2 linked regions of the Styela clava genome follow. The protein of the gene in region 1 interacts with the protein of each later gene in a pairwise test. Links are inferred from orthologs where the notes say so. Each region holds a gene or a part of one and is shown on either strand. Other genes may lie near its edges.

Evidence for each region.
Region 2: the proteins of 26S proteasome non-ATPase regulatory subunit 14 (region 1) and large ribosomal subunit protein eL19-like interact in a two-hybrid assay, tested with the Caenorhabditis elegans proteins (2 studies listed by BioGRID). The link is inferred for Styela clava from reciprocal best matches to the Caenorhabditis elegans genes rpn-11 and rpl-19.

Annotation. Positions count from the first base shown.
Region 1 is NC_135263.1:666,899-678,189, reverse strand, and holds the start of 26S proteasome non-ATPase regulatory subunit 14, read left to right. Parts: upstream 1-6,855; 5' UTR 6,856-6,932; coding exon 6,933-7,058; intron 7,059-7,577; coding exon 7,578-7,655; intron 7,656-8,178; coding exon 8,179-8,291; intron 8,292-8,757; coding exon 8,758-8,908; intron 8,909-9,868; coding exon 9,869-9,976; intron 9,977-10,247; coding exon 10,248-10,348; intron 10,349-10,958; coding exon 10,959-11,058; intron 11,059-11,291. UniProt on the Caenorhabditis elegans protein: Metalloprotease component of the 26S proteasome that specifically cleaves 'Lys-63'-linked polyubiquitin chains. The 26S proteasome is involved in the ATP-dependent degradation of ubiquitinated proteins.
Region 2 is NC_135252.1:12,332,905-12,343,452, forward strand, and holds large ribosomal subunit protein eL19-like, read right to left. Parts: upstream 4,120-10,548; 5' UTR 4,105-4,119; coding exon 3,953-4,104; intron 3,307-3,952; coding exon 3,200-3,306; intron 2,905-3,199; coding exon 2,782-2,904; intron 2,620-2,781; coding exon 2,499-2,619; intron 2,316-2,498; coding exon 2,205-2,315; intron 1,439-2,204; coding exon 1,309-1,438; 3' UTR 1,243-1,308; downstream 1-1,242. Other genes in the region: kinesin-like protein KIF28, read left to right, coding at 9,100-9,140, 9,597-9,646, 9,984-10,135.

The DNA of each region.
Region 1 (11,291 bases):
ATCGGTAAAAATGAACCTCGACATAACCTATTTGAGAGCAGTTTTGTGGTTTTGCGTTTCGCTGATTCTGAAGTTTCTACGCCACGCATAAGTCGAAAGGTCTGCGTTGTTTCGAGTCATTTCCCATTGCTATATTTAACTGCAATAAGGCAAAAGCAAGGACGTTCAATTCAGAAACTGAAATTTAAATCATCCATTGTCTGATTATGTAGTTGGAAGCAATTTTTATGATCATTTTACGTTTTCCCGCCATTTCTTCTGAAACATCTAGCTATTAGGTAAATTGGAATAGGATTGATTTACATATTTATCCCGAGGGGCGACGGGCAATAATACGGCCCAAACGTATGGCGAACCATGTTTCTCTTGCTTGACTGACAAAAAGAAATCGTGTTTATTATGCCCATGCATGTTCGGTAGATACATGTAAATTATATGACTGACATTTGCAAAATACGACCCGGGCCAAATTCGGCCCGTTGAGTTATTAAATACGGCTCGCCTGATGCTGCCACAACCAACTAAGTCCTAGTGAAATTTTTAGGTTTGAGATAAAAAAAAATAGCTCAAGGAATTTGTTGAGATTGCGATTAAGTTTATTCCTGGAAAGAGGTTTATTGTTTTCCACTTTTGCTTATGAAATACTGTAAATATTGTTCATAAAATGTAACTTTGTACGTAACACTCACATGGCCCGCCAGTCTAGGTGGGCAAAATTTTTGGCCCCTGATCCAAAAACCTTGCCAACATTGCGAACTTGTTCACCCTGGGCGCTTCCGAAAGATTCGTATCAGGATGCGGCACAACCTGAACATGGTATGTGTACCAGGCTTGGGTTTTTCAGGTTGTGCGTCATCTTGGTACGAATACTCCCGGAGCGCCCAGGGTGAGCAATGTCGCAATGTTGTTGCTGGGGAACTTGCATTATTAGGACTGGGCAGCTGTATTCGGTGCCATAGAGCTATGAAATTTTTGGTGAAGAAAAGCTTGCCATGTTAGATGGAGCCAGAGCTACCAGAAATTTTAGTGGCTTCAGCTTCTAAGCATCATTCTCAGCTAATAATATTAATTTAAAACGAGGAAAAGAGACCGATATGACGGCATGCATTATTTCAAGTGCCAAGTTTGGATCGAAAAGTCAGTTAAACGCAAAAATATTATCGGTAAAAATGAACCTCGACTCAACCTACTTGAGAGCAGTTTCGTGGTTTCGTATTTTGCTGACTTTGAAGTTTCTGCGCCACGCGTAAGTCGAAGGGTCTGCGTTGCTTTGAGTCATTTCCCATTGCTATATTTAACTGTAAAGAGTTAAAGCAAGGACGTTCAATTCAGAAACTAAAATTTGAATTATATGATAGTTTTGCATTTTCCCGCCATTTACTTTGCAACAACTAACTAATAAGTAAATTTGGATAGGATTTACATATTTATCCCGGGGGAAAGGAAAACCGATAAGACGGTTTAAACACGTGACGAACCACGGGTCTAGTCCGGTAGTCAGTCCATGTTGGATGTGGTATTAGTTAGCCAGGTTTTGTTTTCATGGGCATGGACGTCATTTCCTCTTCCACATCGAAATTCATTTTGCTTGGATGACGAACACAAATTGTGTTTATTATGCGCATGCATGTTTGGTAGAAACATGTAGATTATATGACTGGCATGGGCAAAATATGGCCCGCGGTACAAATTCAGCCCGCCTGATGTTGCCACAACAACTGAAACCAAATTTTGAGGCTTAAGCTGAAAAATAGCTTAAAGAATTTTTTGAGATTGCTATTAAATTTATCCCTAGAACGAGACTTATGATTTTCCACTTTTACTTATGAAATACTGTAATTATTATTTATAAAATGTAACTTTGTACGTAACACTTACATGGCCCGCCAGTCTAGGTGGACGAAAATTTTGGCCCCTGATCCAAAAACCTTGCTCACCCATGTTATATGACATTGTTCTGTGGTCTGAAGGTTGCTCCCGAAGTATTCGTATCAAGTTTGATCACAATCTAAACACAGTATGTGTACCAGGTTGTGTGTCATTTTGGTACAAATACTTTCGGAGCGCCGTCTGAAGAATACTTTTTTATTAGAGCTTCAAACAAATATAAGATTAGAATTTTCATCTTAATCTTGGGGAGAGGAAAGCTGACGATACGGATTGATCATATGGTTACTGGTAATCTACTTACACGTAATCGTATCCCACAGGATTAGAGCTTGTGAACACATACAGGGTGAACATTGTTGCAATGTTGTTGTTGGAAACTCTCATTATCAGGACTGGGTAGCAGTATTCGGTGCCATGGAGCTGTGACATTTTGGTGAAGAAAAAGCTTGCCATGTTAGATGGAGCCAGAGCTACCAGAAATTTTATTGGCTCCAGCTTCTAAGCATCATTCTCAGCTAATAATGTTGATTTAAAACGAGAAAAAGAGACCGATATGACGGCACACATTATTTCAAGTGCCAAGTTTGGATCGGAAAGTCAGTTGAACGCAAAAAGAATATCGGTAAAATGAACCTCGACTAAACTTATTTAAGAGCAGGTTGCGAGACCAATGCGACACACCTTCGACACGCCACACTAAACAATGCCAATTGTTTGAACAACAAACTATAGCGCTGACACCGACAGGCACCTGATATTTGATTCATGGCAAGCATTAGTTAAAAGTACTCAGTACACAAAACTCCATACCCAGCTCAGCTTTGAGTAATTCTATTTGATTGTATTACGATAGGACCAGGATGTTTGGTTGTAATAAGACGGGATGGGGTGTTTGGTTGTATTAAGATGGGTAGAGGGTATTTGGTTGTATTAAGATATGACGAGGTGTTTGGTTGTATTAAGAAGAGAATCGGAAGTTCGGTTGTATAAAGATGGGAATAGGATTGTTTGGTTGTATTAAAGAAGGAATGCGATATTTGATTGTAATGAGGAGGGAAGTGGGAAGTTTGGTTGTAATAAGATGGGAAAGGGATATTTGGTTGTAATAAGATTGAAATGGATATATTAGGATGTGCATGAGACATTTGGTTGTATTAAGAAGGGAATTGAAATATTTGGTCATAAAAGATAATAATTGCGAAATTTGGTTGTATTAAGATGAATAGGGATATTTCGTTGCATTAGGATGGATAGGGATGTTTGGTTGTATTAAGATGAATTGTAATATTTGGTTGTATTAAGATTGGAATTGGGATTTTTGGTTGTATTAAGATGAATTGTAATATTTGGTTGTATTAAGATTGGAATTGGGATTTTTGGTTGTATTAAGATGGTATCGGATATTTGGTTGTATTAAGATGAGTTTGGGATGTTTGGTTGTATTAAGACGGCAACTGGATATTTGGTTGTATTAGGAAGGAATGGCTTGTTTGGTTGTATGAAGATGGGAATTGGATTGTTTGGTTGTATTAAGGTGGAAATGGGACATTTGGTTGTATTAAAAAGGGTTTTGAAAATTTGGTTGTATTAATATGACAATTTGACATCTAGCGATAGCTGTACCACCCTTAAATTAATCAAAATGCAGAAAATAAATTGCACGTGTCCCAATGATTTCAGTATTATTAATATGAGTTGGTTAGCACTAAGCCTTGGAATCGAATAAATGTTTGTTCAATTCACAATGTCCTGGCTTTCTGTTCATATATACGGTTAGCCCAGTCATGATTATTTTCACTAATGGCTCTATTGTTTATGCAACCTTCATCAATTAATCTAAACTATGCATTCCTGCTTTATTTTCAAATGGTTGATTTAAGAAATCGAGATTGTGTTTATAGTTTTCTGTGTTGCTTTCAACAAGCTTAAAATATACAAAATATGTTCCCTAATTCTGTAATCAGTTTTATTTATTTTTTTATTTTTTTTCAATAATTTTATCGTCTTTTATGCTAGCTGTGGAGTCAAAAATAAACTTATAAAGATTATATTTCAATATTTGCTGTCCTAGCGCCAGGACAAACGGGGGACTAGCATTCTAAAACCTCATTTGTTGATTAATCTACAAATAGTTCCTTGGATGAGATAGATTTGAGAAATACACAAGAGAGAGAACAATTTCTCTCCCCGTTTCAGAGTAGTGAGTCAGTTTGCATAGGATATATTCCGATGCGAATAGTAAAGAAAGAAAACGTAACATTAGATAAATGTTCAAGAAAACATATCATTTGACTCTTGAAGTTTGAAGTCATACACAATTGCTAGTATCCTCTTATATGTCAGTGAAGTATGTATGGAGTCATGATGAAAGAGAAAAAATGTAAAACGTAGGCCTATAGGAAAAATTAACAAATGACCCGATCACATGAAAACCAACAGCGTGTCGTCGGTTTCCAGTTGGGTTATACATTAGAGTAGACCAGCGTTTCCCAAACTGTGTTCCGTGGTAAAAACATTAAAAATACGTCTAAAATGGCCGCCATGGCGATTTATGGAACCTGAAGTTGTCGCCCAACTGACCGTTCGATATCGCGTCATCGTCGGCCTAAAGTGAACCAACTATAGGGTAGTGGCATTTTCATTAACCGTCGGTCTAGCTTGTTGACTGATAGGTTCATTACAGCTATGCTGCTGATTTTGCTAAATGCAAACAAGTAGGTCTAAAGAATAAAGGGGGCTCCCGAAGTATGCGAACCAAGATGGCGGACATCGGAATGTAATATGTGTACTAGGTTAGGGTTAGGCCATAATTTTAGGTATAAATACTACGGGAGGCTCTTGGCTAGTCTTCGAACTGATAATAGGACTAAAATAAGGAAAATTGGAAAAAAATTATCGCCTAACCCTAACCTGTTACCCATGTTACGTTCCGATGTCCGCCATCTTGGTTCGCATACTTCGGGAGCACCGAATAAAGACATAAGATCAACTCTTCTTCCTCCATATCTGCTTGGTTTTACTTTGAAATGCTGAAAAAATTGCTAAACTCTATTCAGTAGATAAATAAACTGCAGGTTTGCCGCTCGCGAAATTGCGGCAAGCACCTTTATCACCATTAGACGTAACATTAAGGGCAAACACTACGTTAATTTAAATTAAGAAACAATAAAACATTTATAATATATGCAATTTGTGAAATATTCAATCATATTTTAGGTATGTTTAGCACACTTCTGTTAGTTTTCGCGGCCCATTTGGCAACTTGCCACGAGAACCCATTGGGAACCGCTATATACATTAGGCCTACAACATTTTTCTTTATCCATTTTACTTTTACTCTTTCATTTTTTTGTGTTCCGCGAGGCGAGATAAAAATTGTAAGTGTTCCGTGGCCGAAATAGTTTGTGAAACGCTGGAGTAGACAATCCTTGGAATAGTCAGGTTGCTGAACAACCGCCGCCTTCATGGTTCCTATTTCTTTATTTCGAAGTCAGTGCGTCACGGAGCCATTGGAATATACTGTGGCGTCTCTGGGGTATGGGAGCCATTGCTCGTTCCATGGGCGCCGTTTGATTAGGGTAGCACGAAGGCGAAAATTTTAATTGTAAAATTTTCAACGAAATAATCCAAAGTGTAAATGATTGAATATCGCGTTTTTACTCATAACGTATAAGTATCTTAATTCAACAGCAGTCGTTAAAAATTGTCATTTAACGATCAAGTGGCGCATATATTTGGTATAAGTGCGTTTGTTATAAGTGCGTCTTGATGAGCGGGCACATGATACTCATCATGTTTTAAATTTTTTTAAAGGTTTTGCTCGAATTCTCCATTTTTAATTTTTTTTGTATTATCATATTGTGGAGTTTTCGAAATAAACTATCTATCTATCTAAGTGTGGGTTAATTTTGATTACCCGAAAAAAAAGAATACTTCTTCTTCTTAATGTAAGTAAGAACAGTAATAACAATACACTATCACCATTTTTTGATGTTTATTAATTTCAACTTCTTGCGTGTGAGAGGTAGTGTCTTATTTCCAAATAGTTTCTGTGTGTTCGACTCGTGCTACAACTCAATTATGTTACGCATCAATGAATACCATGAATAAGCAAATATCGTTTACCCTAGTCATGATTATCGTGTGTGCCTGAATTTCGTTTTACCTGTTGATGCCCAACACAGGTCTGCAAGTGGAGAGTTTGCGAGTTTCAGGCTTTTGTAGTAAGGGTATGCCTCAGTAAAATATCTGGATAAACTTGGCATTATGGACGGGACCTGGCAAGGCACTTGTATTCATTAAGTCTGTAAGTTTTGAAGTATAAGTTTTATTTCAAATCAGAAGCCTACAGCTGTCTGACTGTACAACAACGATAAAATAATTGTTGAAAAAAAAATTAAAATTGATTACTGACTCTAGAACTCTGCCTTTCTATTAATTTTGAATATACTGTATTGGGTATCAGGCATACCCGTACTTCTTTCTCGTCTTATTGTTTATATTTGTAAAATACTAGTACCGGTAAAGGATTTATGTTGAAAGGAAATTTTCCTTGACAAGTAAAAAAAATTACTCAAAAATAGCAATGTCAAAATGTTGTATAGTACAGTAGTGCGTATCTAAATTATGGAATTTATTTTTTATAATAATAGCAGGTTTATTTTGATTAGCATGAAAGGTGATAGAATAATAGCCTAGTTAAAATAAAATTAAAAAATAGCCTGCTAGCTGAATGGTTACAGAAAGCTTAAGTGTCTTTAATAGCTTAAGTGTTTTTTGTAGGTGTGCTGGTGAGCAGAAGCATGGTACTTTCACTTTTTTGCTGTTTCAAGGGTTTTACTTGCTCTGCAGAATTCTCCATTTTAATTAGTGTATTTAGGAAGGAAGGATTTACATAATTATCTGTATTATGGAGTTTTCAAAAGTATCTATCTTATACAGTTAGACTATATTAATTTGTTTGAAATTATCATATCTCAGACTTTTTAATGAAGAAACTACGAGCTGTTTCTCACATTTCAGCTCACATTTAAAATATAAGAATGGATAGGTTAATGAGATTAGGAGCGGGTGGGGGACTTCAGGGATTTGGACAACAACCCCAGTCTGATGCTCCCATGGTTGACACAGCAGAACAAGTTTATATTTCATCGTTAGCTTTATTAAAGGTGAGAAATTGTGATTGGTGTTTTTTATTTCTTGTGTTTTAAACGCCAGTTTTCAAAATTTTCTGTGTTCGTCTTGTGTATCATACTTCTTTTTATCATGGTGTAGTTCAAAATAAAATGTCTTTTTTTTATGTCTCATGGTTTGAAACTCATTTGTAGTTATATTGCTCAATTTCTCTCTTAGGTCTGTGAGTGTAAAATGTAAAATAAAATTAGAATAATAATATAGTCAGAATAAATTAATCATATTTTTGTATTCATTAAAAAAAAACTAGGTTGGCTTCCCACTTTGCGATAAGTATTAAATTTGCAATGATTAATTTCAATAACCTAATCAATGTTGAAAAATCTAAGAAGGTATATTGGTCACTGAATCCAACACTAGCCACTTACCCTTCCAAAATTCCCTCAAAAACAATGAAGTTACAGCATAAACAATGTTAGATAAATCAAATTTCTGGATAAACCTCTGCAGGCTCTTTATGCAACTTACAGACTAACATAAATTTATCTTTTCAGATGTTGAAACATGGCAGGGCTGGCGTACCAATGGAAGTCATGGGTTTGATGCTCGGAGAATTTGTTGATGATTATACGGTGAGATATTGTTTGTACTCAATACTGACTGAAGATTGTAATGAATATCTGTATTTTTATACACCTTTCACTTCAAACAAGACTCAGTTACCCTATGACACCAGAAGACACAAGGAGTCCAGCGATCTTCTCTGCATATAATTATCCCTATTTAGGTATAAATTCATTACGACTTCATAATTCAGCATAAAAGGCAATAAAAGAATTAATGAAAACAAAATAAATATGATTAGCAAATCAGGAAAGTGAACAAAATAATAAATAAGTGAGGGTTTGAACGTACAAATTTTAGATGAAAAGTGTTGTCAAAAGAAGTGTTCATTCACACAGAATTTGAACTCGCGACGGGTACTTGGAGGTGCAATGGAAGGCATATTTCTAACTATGAGCATGATGTGTAAACTGCCAAGCCTTCTTCCAAAAGCTTACAATGCTTGCTTGTATGATGTTAAGATGGAGTAAAACACCTCATAAAAACTCGGAACAAGTCAGGGCTGATTATAAATTTTATCCTTTTTAACAGGTCAGAGTGATTGATGTATTTGCAATGCCTCAGTCTGGCACTGGAGTCAGTGTTGAAGCTGTGGATCCGGTGTTTCAAGCCAAGATGTTGGACATGCTGAAACAGACTGGAAGGTATGCTGATATTAGTTGTGTCAGCCTACTTAGGAAAGTGTGGGGAATTTTGTTTGCTTCGTGATGATAATAGAATAACAGGATTTCTATATTTATCCTTTTGGGAGTGGGAAGCCCAGAAAATGATGTTTTGGGTGGTACTGGTATCTGACTCAGATGACTGTGAATGGTTGTATCGATACCACCCAGTCATCTAAAACTTAATTTTTCCCATTTTGCTATCATATATATTTTATATGTTTTCTGGTTTAACGAAAAAAAAAATTCTTTCTTTCTCAATCATATGGCGAACCAAGGACTTTCGTCTGGTTACCAGTTCATGCAGAGGCATAGTTGGCTGGTCATTCGTTTCAAACGCATGGACTTTTGAAACAAACATGTTTGACCACTTGATGCTTCTTATGCAGTGTGTTTTGGTTTTAATAAATGTGTTGAAATGACTAATAAAATTTTTTTTTTAATACAGGCCTGAAATGGTGGTAGGTTGGTACCATTCCCATCCTGGCTTCGGTTGCTGGCTATCTGGTGTGGACATCAACACCCAACAAAGTTTCGAAGCGTTGTCCGAACGAGCTGTTGCCGTCGTGGTCGACCCGATTCAGAGCGTTAAAGGAAAGGTTAGTCTTGTCATTATAAATGTCTAGAACAGGGGTTCCCAAGCTTTTTTCAGGACGACCCCAAATACATCTTTCAAGTTTCCAGTGCGACCCCAGGTCAATATATATATATATATTTCATGAAACTCTAGAGCTTGTTTCACTGGACTTTTGAGTTTGGTCATGTCGTGGTATTAAGTAAAATAAGCTAAAACCAAACAAGCGCCTACATTTTCTATAGAATAAGCATGCCTATGTTCCTGTTTTAAAGTAAGCCATGGACTACAAACTGCTAAATTTAACTTGGTTTGTCAAATCTTAGATGCTTTGTACATCCATCCTCTACCATACCTCAGCGACCCCATGACCTGTTTGCGACCCTACCTACTTATCACTCAAACCCAAATTGGGGTCGCGACCCCTGGTTTGGGATCCCCTGGTCTAGAATATAATTGTTTTCTTCACTGTTGCTTCAAATAACGCTCGGTACAGGAAAGCAATCAGACCACGGTCTCTCAAGCTGGGCTCTAGGGGCCATGGGCGGGCGATTCTCTGGTAGTCATTAGCTAAGACTTTCACCGATTATTATTTTTCAATTCTTCAACTGTAATGCATATTTCCATGTTAGTGTTGTGGAGATTCACATAAATTATTACATTCATTTAAAACTAATACCAAGTACTGCAATTTGTTTTCCATAAAGTGGTCTGTAGCAAAATAGGACGCTCCAGAAGTGTGTGTACCAATACGGAGGTAACTAATTTTGTTTGCTTATTTTACATCAAGTTGTGTAAAGGGACTGAAACCTATAGGCAGGGGATATATTCACTTGGCTAACACAGAACCCGCAATAGAACTAAAATAAGGAAAATCGGAATAAAATTATGGCCTAACCCTAACCTGGTACACACAATACTGGAGTAGCAGGAATAGTCTGTTAATTCCAATAATTCTCAGTTTGATTGAGCTTTTTCTTTCCAGGTTGTCATCGATGCTTTCCGACTGATCAACCCCAACATGATGGTCTTGGGCCACGAACCTCGGCAGACAACGTCTAACCTTGGACATTTACAGAAGCCTTCCATACAGGTAATAAATTTCACACTGTGGTAGGTGTGTTGTACTTAAGTATTAGGAATGTACTGATTATTATCTTTCTATATTTAATTATTGGAAATAACAGCTAGAAAATGATTGGAAAATACAAGTTGTATTTAGGTTAGGTGGGCCAATAACGTTACACTCAGGATCAGCCAAAACATTGGAGAATGAAATATGTGCACGACACTCCTAATTCTCCAGAATGTATCTGAAATAGTAAAATATTCCCTGTTTTGAAACATCTTGAAATCTTTTCCAGGCTTTGATTCACGGTTTGAACAGACATTACTACTCGATTGCCATCAACTACAGAAAGAATGAACTTGAACAGAAGATGCTGCTCAACCTGCATAAAAGAAGGTTCTTGCTGGAATTTCAAATTTTTCGGGGTTCAAATTTTGTGCTTTAAATCAGTGGTGTGCAACCTGCAGCCCACAAGGAAAAATTGTGCGGCCCGCAGTGTCAATTTTGAATGGTGTGCGGCCTGCGACGCCAGTTTTTAATTTAGTTTAATCTGACATGCGCGAGTAATTTATGTTGCAAAGTGTATACATGATGCCTATGAGATTCAATGTCTGCTGGCTCGAAAACTTTTGTAACTGCAACTACGAGAAAGCCTATGGTAAACAAAGATGTGACTCGCAATTTCAGTCAGTTATTGGTATCTGGCCTTCCTGTATTAAAGGTTGCACACCCCTGCTTTAAATGGTGGTAATCAAACCAACTCTAAGGAGCATCAAAATAACTAAGCATTCTCTACAGATAATTGAATCTTTTTTTTGTAGTTTTGGGCCAAAGTTGATGTCAAAATATTTCCTCAACCTTGCTGTGGCCTTGAGTTGAGTCAAACATATAATCTGTGTTAACGCTGAGTTTGGGTAGTTTTTAAATGACTTGAAGTCTGGTGTATTTCTCTGTTTTGACTTCTCATTTCATTCATGGAAAATAAAATAAATCTTTTGTTTACTAGTTGGATCGATGGCCTGACTTTGACAGATTACAGCGAGCATTGTAAAGTGAATGAAGATACCGTCACTAATATGCTGCAGTTGGCCAAAAATTATAAAAAGGTATTTGGTTGTATTAAGATGGGAATTGGATGTTTGGTTGTATTAGAAGTGGTTTTTGGTTGTATTAAAATGGGATTTGGGATATTTTGTTGTATTAAGATGGGATTGGGATATTTGGTTGTATTAAAATGGGATTGGGATATTTGGTTGTTTTAAGATGGGATTGGGATATTTGGTTGTATTAATATGGGAATTGGATGTTTTACTTGTATTAAGAACGGGATTAGATGTTT
Region 2 (10,548 bases), on another chromosome or scaffold:
CAACTTGAATGTTCATTGTGTTGAATACATATATAGTTTTTTAAACACATTCACTTTTTGATGGTTTTGTGTTATCCTTCCTGCTCAAATATTGGGGGAACGTTGGATTTTTAAATATTGCATGTTTGTGATCAGCAAGTACAAACCTTTTTTTCATGCCGAATATTGTAAGTTATCAAATCCTGTCTTATTTTTTCTACTGCCACTGTTCTTGCTTTACCATGAGTGATGTATATGCTGTGTTGTGTTCTTGTCAGAAATAAATGATACCACATCGATCATTGTCTATTTCCGAATCGATGGTATGGATATGGGACTTAGCTGGCGGCATGCGGTACCTCTGGTTACCCTGCGTTTGAATCATGGGGGGTAATTACGTGCGAAAGGAATGGAGGACCTCTTGCCGGCGAAGGGTGGTTCATGTAACTGCTGGTCGATTAGAAAAGTCCAATACCGGACATGGACTGGTAACTGGACAAGAGGATATGGTTCATGATAACTGAGACTAACTTGTCATGATCATTTTGTGTAACGAGTTGCTGTTCTCTGTCTAATTCAGAGCATTTCATGATATTTGAGAAAAACTTTGTGCTTCAGATCGATTCGTGATTTCAACTGGGTGTAGGATTTTACAAAAAAATGAAGAGAAACAAAATGGCTAAATAAAACCACCACCTCCCATTGCGTCATAATCTAGCGCACAAGCTTTTTCCCATAAATGAATAGTTGTGTTCTTCACTCCAAATTCCAAGAAAAGTTTGACACTTTTGTTCTTGAGTATCGCATCTGTCGCAAGTTCCTTATTATCTCTCGGACGTCACTTCCTTTCTGATTAATCACCACCTTGACAAGGTAATGCAAATGATGATGACAGAGATGATTGCACCCAACTAGCCAGGTCTCCACCTGAAGCAAGGCTTCTCAAACTGGATCCACCCATCACCTTTTGTTTATTGGCTTCTTATCACTAAACCAGGCAAACAAAATAACTGATGTGAACTAGTCGCAAACCAAAATAGTTTTCAGTTTCTGGAAGCAGGAGGCAACAGAGCATGAAACTTGGAAAACTATGGGAGATTTTAGGCAATATTTTTACCATCTTAATCATCCAGACCGATATTAAACCCCAGTTGCATATACCAACATTTTGACATAGGACTGGCTTTATTGCATTTTAATGACACCCACTTGACATAATTCCTGTCTAAACTATCTCTAACATACCCATAGAAACAAAAAAAGTATTTGCACTATTTGTTGTACAATTGTAGTGAATATAGCCACAGAAATTTAAAAGGCAAATAGAATTCACTCCTTCTTGACAGCTTCGTCCTCTTTTGCAAGTGCTGAAAGCATTTCCTTCTTTTTGGTCTGAATTCTCTCTTCCCTTCTTCTTCTGGCCTCCTTGTTCTTTTGGCGACGAGCTTCCGCCTGGTCACTGATTTGAGACAATGCAAAAATTTAGGAATAGTAAACAGCCGAATCAGGGCTGTGAAAGAAAACTTTCTGTGGACTCTGAATATGGGTTTTAGAAAACCCAGGCTCAGACTCCAGCTCTTGAGAAAATCAAATTTTGACAACAAAACTTCCGTATAAGCAAGAGTGTTCTTTAGTAATATACTGTTAATAATGCTTAGTAAACTACATTGTTCTTTGAGTTTCTTCGGTAAATTCTTTTATCAAGGTCTGAAACCCCTATTCCACAGCCCTGAACAGAATGTCTAATTCATACTAAAAGTAGCATTATCAAAATCATGCATCTGAAAATAGTAATATTTTGCATATTCTCCAACAAGGCGCAGCAACTTGAATAAAAAAAAAAAGAATTATATTCATAAAAGTGCACTAAAAATTTTCCACAGTGCAAAATTTATCCGTTTAACTTCACTGAAAAGTAAACGAAAATATCGGTCAGAGACCGAAGACTTGTCCATCGAAAGTTAGAGGATTCCTCAAAACAGCACTCTTACTCCATAGTGACACCTTGTGTCTCATCACTAATTAATTAATAACTCGCTAATTATACGACATAATTCGCCCAAAATCAATAGGCTTCTGGTCCGAGATAAGATGAATGCACATGCAAAATCTGGAGCAGGTCCAATCTCGCTTTCGTGAGATATCGCGTGCATCTAACAGACAAACAGATACCTACTTACCGATTAAAATCGATAAGTAACAATTGATAATAATTATTTTCTTACATGAACATCTTTGTTCTCGACTTCTTGGCCTTTTCTTTGTGAATATGTTCCATAAGGATACGCTTATTCTTGAATCCATTACCTTTAGCTTTCAAGTAAAGTTCATGGTACCTATAAAATGAAATTTAGTCGATAAGATTAGTAATAATTTTTCAGCTTCATGGAGTTTGATATCGAACGAATTGACGAAGAGGTAGTTCGATTAGATAACAAAAATCATTTGAGGTAAGATTTAGGAATTTTTAAGAAACGAATATGCAGCAAAAAAGGGCTAATAGTGTACATTCTACATACATATGCTTGTCGATCTTTTTCGATTCTCTGTATTTTCTCAGAAGACGTCGAAGAACTCTCATTCGCCGAATCCAGATTACTTTTTCAGGCATACGTGCATTTGCAGTACCCTTTCTTTTACCTATTTGCAAAAATTAATCAAATAAATAATATTATTTTAATTCAATTTTTTATATAAAAAACTCCCGAATTCTACTTGACCAAAAATATCTTCACGAGTTAGAAAAGCTTAAATGTGATAATTTCACAAGTTTATATATAGAATCATGTCATTGATTCATACCTCGTCCTGTGTGGCGACCTTTTCTACGAGCGATTGTATTCTTTCGCACTCTTGCACGAGAATGAACAGCCACAGGTTTTCGGATAATCAGACCATCTTTGATCAATTTACGAACATTTTGCCCTGTGAAAATGAAATGTTACACATAGATGTGAATCCGAATCTAATAATTAAAAATATACTTAAATAATATCAAAATTCTAGCTTATGTCAGATTTTATTTATTATAAGAAAGGTTTATATTTTAATGTTAACAGATTTATGTTACCAACTAATATAATATTTTAAATAATACTATGTGTGAGAAGTCTTTGAAAAACTTTGTCTTGGTGAAAAAGTTAAACTGCTGTATATTTCATCTTCTAAATCAGAATGAGATAAAGAACAAGCTATTAAAGGCGGAGGTGAAAACTCTTACTTGAATTGGCATTTGAAATCATGGAAGTTTCATTTGGATCCAACCAAACTTTATTCTTCCCGCATTTCATAACAGCAGCGGCAAGCCGCTTTTGCAGTCGAAGGGTGCTAGAACAAATAAATGAAATATTCAAATTTAAATCATTATGACACAATGCAGATAAATCCAGAGCATTTATCTTTCTACAGATCAGTGTATCTTCTATAACACTGTACAGTCAGACAGTGGTGAGAAGGAACAGTACACACGCGTAATACAAAATGAGTGTGAATTGACTAGGCAAAGACAATTCAAGTATACTAGGTTTTTTTTTCCTAGAACAGTTGCTGATATATCAAAAACCAGTCCGCCTTTCACAAAGTTAAGACCTGTGTCTGAGCACTTATAGGCTAGCTGGTGAGCTAAAACAAACACTCTTCCCAGTAGAGATACAAATGTATAAAATGGCAGCAAACAATGATTTTACAATAACATAATATTGAAAACTATCATGCCAATATTCATTCGATGAAACACACCCCAAAGGACTATTCACTTGTTGCATTACATGGTCATGTCTGAGAGTGGAAATGGGCAGAAAAATATTCTTAATTACAACACTCCTGATGACACTGCAGGAAAAATAACTAATATTCTAACGGCAACGCAGGGCATCTAAATGATATTTGATAATTTTTCATTCTTTCTATACAAATTCCAACCCCATTATAATGCAATAAAAAGAGAAAATGTTCAAATATTGTTGAAAATTACCTCATGACTGCCGATTTCCCGATGGCCACGCTAAAAGGATGGGGAGAGCCAGAGATTGGTAAAAGTACGCCAACTGGTGGATATTCTGAATCGGGGAACAACAACACAAAGATCATATGCCAACTGACTTTGAAAATCTTGTCCGTAATCATTTTTTTGTGGAGATATGAGAAGGATTCAGAATTTGTTATTAGCGCAAGCGAAAAATCAGGGAGTATTAATTTGTTTAGTTACCGTCTCAAAGAAGACTACTGCGGTTAGGAACAATGGTTATGGCCGTGCGTTTATTTTTGTTCCTTTCATCACTATTCACATTATAAACGCCAAGTATGAAAGCATTACTGTATTTAAGTATAAGTTTATTTGGACTCAATCAGCATAATAGGCAATAAAATGATTAATAAACCCAAATAAATGAAAACTGATTAGAAAACCAGAAGAGAGCAAACAAAACCTTAGATAAAGTTTAAATCGTACAGAATATGAGGTGGAAGGTTTTACCAAGAAGAAGGTGCTTTTTCCCTCACCTAAACTTATCAAATTTATTCATAGACACTCACAAAATTATTTCCAATTGTATGTAATAGAAAACAACAGCTCGTGAAATCTATATTCTCAACTCTGAGGCACCAACGATTAGTAGCCTACGGTATGTGGATTCCAATATGTCATGACGTGATCAATGATCTCGGATTATTTCTTTTAAATTAAATTAATATATCCATGCATGTCGAAACTGTGATACATTATGGCTTTAAATTTACGCAGCAATTGTGGTAAATAGTTAATGGGAGTAGGGCAGAAAAAAGGTATAAATTGTGTTTTATTATGTGCCAGATGTTTTATATAGAAATGTAAACTTCGTGATGAAAGGCCTCAGTTTTGTCAATTTTTATATATGACAAAAATTTTTATTTACTGTGAAAAAGCTATTGCAACTAAAAAAGGCAAACTGTTAATCCATAAGAAGAAGTGGAAAACTATCATAAGCTGTGTTTTTAAGTGCAATTGTATTTTGACATTGTGTCTATATAAATGTGATGTCTTTATTAATAAAAAAAATAATATATCCTGTTATTTACATATAGTAGTTTACATGTTCATTAAGTACATATTAATTAGAGCAATGGAATTAGTAAGTATTTATTTTCGTTTGCTATATTTTTTAATGTATGAGCAAACACTCCTCCTATCTCCTATTTGTGTCTCATATTTTATTTTTTCTTCTTGTATGTAACTCAATCAGACTGCGGCCCTTTGACGATCAACATGATTTTTAGTGGCAAATTGTCAACCATCATTTTTATTTTGAACGGGGGCAAAGGCGTATTGTTTCTAAAACAACAAAATATCCGCTCTCGGATTGGTGGCGACGGGGAGGCGGGTAAATGTTAGGATGTTTTACTTTCAATTATCCTACTTACCTCGGGTACTTACTCGATAGCTATGACTGTGAACCAAATTTTACAAAGCAACTCATCGAGTATTAGTTTATTTATTCAATTATATATATGTATTGGGTGGTGACTGACTCAGATGGCCTGAATCAGGGGTCTGCAACATGCGGCCCGCGGGAAAATGCGACTCATAAGGAAATTTGTGCGGCCCGCGGGGAAGTGCTAATTTTGAATGGTGTGCGGACCGCAAAACGAGTTTTCAATATAGTTTAATCTGGTAGGAGTAATTCCAATCCCCATGCGTTGCAAAGTTTTTATTATCTATGCCTTTGACGTTACACTGCTCTAACAACTAGCTTGTGCGAAGCGGACAACGCATGTCATAAGATCAATAATCAAAATTTTTCTGCCTTCAACTACTAGCAAGCCTATGTTGGCCCGCGGTTTCATCTAGTTATTTGTATCTAGCCCCCTTTATAAAAGGTTGCAAGCCCCTGACCTAAATCGTTACCATCCAGTCAGCTACCGAAAATTTTTGATTCCCTTATTTCATTATTATTTTAAATAGTATGTGTTTGCTGGTTTGACGAAAATTAAATGACGTCAAAGTGTCCTTTTACAAAACTTAATTGTGTGACAGCTTGAAGCAGTTAAAGTCCTATACTTTTACTACTGCATGTAATATGTAGGCTATGTTCTTTTGTCTCAATAAATAAAAATCGTATATATATAAATAAAATCTTTAGGAGATTACAGGACAGGTCACACGAACAGATCATGCCAATCCAAGTCACGATCGTTACTGTCCAGAGGCGTAGCCAGCATATTTTGCGCGGTGACCGTACATTTGAACCCACGTACATTTGAACCCATGCGTGTATCCACGGGTTCAATTTATATGCGGGTGCTAAAACCCATGGGTTAGGGTTAGTATGGGTTTAACTATCCGTGAAACAGAAAAAATTCCATAGGTGCAATAGCATACAGGTGCAATTGTCATGGGTTCAAATGTACGTGGGTTCAAATGTAATGGAACCATTTTGCGCCCGGGGCAAAATATAAAATTGGCGCCCCGACCCCCACGTTTAATCATGTTTTCTATTGCATTTAATTGTATATGTAAAAAAAATTATATTTCGTCACGCTAATAACCGAATTGCGTAAGTCATTTTTAGCTGTTTTGAGAAAAACGTAAAAATACTTCCTAATGATATTGCTATGCCATTGAGAGTCTTTAATTTGCCATAGTTCAACTTTTTGATCGTAGCCGGATTTAAGTTAATTTGTATGACGCAGTCATGTGACGTCATAATGGCACACTGTGATTTAGGCAAAAATGTGTCTATGGCTAGAGGACATACGCAATTTTGCAACTTGTCTATATGTACCAGTCCTGAAAACCAAACAATCCAAAATAGCTAATCTGTTTCAATTACATTATTTTTTATGTTTAAAAATATATATTTCATCAATATAACACGCTCTGCACATCACCGAAATAAGACTAAAGTTAAATATAAAGAATAAAACAGTAATGTACTCTTATATAAAAGTCAACCAAGGTGAATTGGACTCAGACAGTAAATATCACAAGTGCACGCCTTCCTATACAGTAGTATAAATTGAAAATTATTAGCGCTAAGCTAGAATCTGAGATGCAAAAACTCGAAAATCCTTCGCCTAGGTTATTTTGCCTTCGTGACGTCACAATAGTCCTGCGTTAACAATGATAATTCATTATGACGGAACAATTGAACAAATTTGCGTATCATACAAAATTTCTATTTTTATGGGTTTCGGAATTCTTAAAATAAAATCTGAGTTAACAGACAGGTGCGCAGCATTACATAAATACCTATTTTATGAAAAATTCAAAACCGCCCAAAATGACTTACGCAATTCGGGTATTAGCGTGACGATATGTGAATTCAAATTTATATGTATTTATATATTTTATTATTTATTCAAAAATATATGTATATGTAAATTCAAATTTTAATGGAACATTTTATTTAAAGAAGAGGCAAAGCTATACAAAATAGAGCATATGTCCCACTCAGTTACTGTCAAAGATGATCTGGTACAAAATCTGTTTTTTTCCAATGTTTCTCTTTCAACACTTAGAAATGCAAGATCACGGAGACGATCCTGTCCCGTTGATGCACGCGAATACGACAAAATAAGTTTCAATCTGCTGAAAGACCGTTCACAGCTTGCAATTGAAACTGATATTGTTAACAAAATTTGTAGAGAAATTCGTAGATTGAATAAAACGTCGTCTCCAAAAGACACAATAAAACCAAGAAGAGCCGAAGGAGTTTCTGGTTGATCTACAGTTCTGTTACTGAGCAGCATTCTGCAATCTCCAATTTCGGTGAAAAGTTCGTGGCCATTGATGTCCGTGTGGTAGAGATTTGCAAAATCTGTGCAATCTCGACGAATTGTCGAAAACGGCATTGAGGTCTTTTAGCACAGTATAATATATTTTATGTAACTCTGCCGCAAAGTACGGTACTTTGACAACAAAATACAATCCACGTATTACTCAAAACATGTATTAACATCATTCAACCAAATTCCGTTTCCATTTGTCTCCAGCACAGAACTAATATCAACTTACATCCGAGTGCGCAGGCAAGAACTTAACGATACAGAACCACGTAATTAACCCGGTGCATTTTGTTACCTAACGTTACCAAATCAAATTTTGCTTTGTTTTCCGGCCAAATTTTTTTGGCCATGTAATTACGATGGAAATCTGACCGTGCTATGTGCGTGATGACGTCGGCAGTCGTAAGTGGTCTGACCAAGTGTGCAATTTGCCATGTACTAAGATTAGATGTCTGCCGCCGGTGCGATCTTGCTTGTGACCGTTTTTTACCTTTGTTGTGAAATTTTTGCCAGCCCCATTTTGGCGCCCCTGTACCTTGGCGCCCGGGGGCATATGTACCCCACTGCCCCCCCTAAGCTACGCCTCTGTTACTGTCACTGTATTTTAGTGTTGACTTCAAACGAACAACAAACTTTTTCATAGCCTAAATTGCGTTATAAACATATAATAAATTGTGTGGAGCATCATAGTTTGTGATAATAGCAATAAAAAAAGGAAGCAAAGCGTTCCTATTGTTAATGATTGAGGATTCCCAAATAAGTATTGTGAGCTTGTCAAAAATGACTTATCATACATGCTCAACTTAAAACCCGTATAAAAAATATTCACAAACAAATTGTAGCATCACAGCTCTCATATATGCTAAGTGAAGAATCATGAAGCATTGTTACGTGTTGCGAGTCATGCTCGACCACACATTGGCGAACCTATTGTCAACCATTTCATATTACAATATGCGGTGATATTCGAGAGTATACGCACAAACGACTCCTCGAAATATTGTTGGAAGCACAATAGCAATCAATTAAAAGAACATGACAACCCGTAATAGTTTTGGATACTCAGACCGTAAAGATTTTGTCTAGCTAGCTTTGCCTAATTAAGCAAACAAGGATAGTTCCCCATGCCGAGATTACGCAAACAGTCAGCAAAACGAGAGCCAACGGTCTCATCAGTAGCATTGACTAGGTTTGCATTGTCAGGAAAGCATGTGAATTTTAGACAGTTGTCTTTTTATTAGATAATAAGAATATTTCACCATTATTCAAATAATTAGTTTTTCTATATTTTTCTTCCAACAGGAACTATTTTAAAATTATCCTAAAGATAATTGTTCGGGACATTCCGAATCCACAGAGATGGCTGAAAATGTTAAAGTTGCTGTCCGTGTGCGGCCATTCATATCCTTTGAATAAAATGAGTTTTCTGCCGAGCTAACTTGTTTTAGTGATTGCTATTTCTTCTTTACAACATACTTGTGTGCCCTTTGAAATACGCAATCACGTTTCCCTTCAGGACATTTCTATAAAATCAATATCCCGTATTCTTTGAACAAAATAATCTTGTCTATCACATTGATGTAAAAGTTGTATTGGTTGATGCTTATAATGTGTAGATGTATCTAAATAAATTGAGACGTTGTACAGTGTATCATGGAGAATTCATAGATTACATTCTACCATTTCTGCCTAATTTATGACTGATATTAGACAATTATAAATAGATAAGATTTGTATATTATGCGTACCCAAGCCATGGTTGTTTACCAGTTTTATTACAATGACTTTGGCATTCATCTGAAACTGGCCATCACAGGGTTACAGTTTATTTTTGATTTTCTTTAACGTTATGTTCACAATAAGCGAGAAAAAGACAGAAATGCAACAGTGGTTGTCAAAATGGATGGTATGTTTTCATTTTATTTGGTTTAGTCATCATTATGACCTTATTTGATGTATTTTTGCATAATACATCCTTCGTATACGTTATTGTCATATGTTAATTTATTGATAGTGATACATTATATGAACGTGTAACATAACAGATTTTTTCAAAGCATCAGTACCACAGAAAGAAGCTTCCAAGCTATATTATTTCAGAACGGTCATTATTACTCGCGCAATATGACTATCCGCCTTTCTATACTCGATTGTTATACTTGAATAAATGTAAATAAACGCCAGTGAAGTTTTGTATATTTCAGATAGCATCGTATACTTTAGTAATCAAACAATCATTGCAGGTAGCACGACGACGCTAACCAATCCAGACAAGCCAAATGACAAACCCAAGAAATTCACTTTCGATTACAGCTACTGGTCCCATGATGGTTATAAAGAAAGAGCGGATGGTTATTTGGAAAAAGACAAAGCGTCGAGTAAATACTGCGATCAGGTGATTTACGTTCACAACTTTATTCTGTTAGCTTTGGGTGAATCTGTCAATATGATCGACTCAAGTATCTGGGTTTGCACAACGCGACTTGTTATGACAATTAACTAAATTCTCTGTTTTTGAACTTGTAGTGTTAGGAAACGTTTGTTTCTTCAAACATTTGTGTTTAGTCGTTCAAATAACCGTAATATGTATTTGGATTTAGATAACAAGCATTTGAAAAAATGGCACACCCGCTCCGATCCTGACTTCGAATTAACAAAAATTTGACTCCAGCCATAAATGAAATTAAATATTGACTCTAGCATTGGCCATAAAAACTTCCTCTGCGCGAGATTTTTAGATTTCAGATGAAAATTTTGACTCTAAATCGTATCTCCAGAACTTCCGACTGTACATCCAGGCGTAAAATA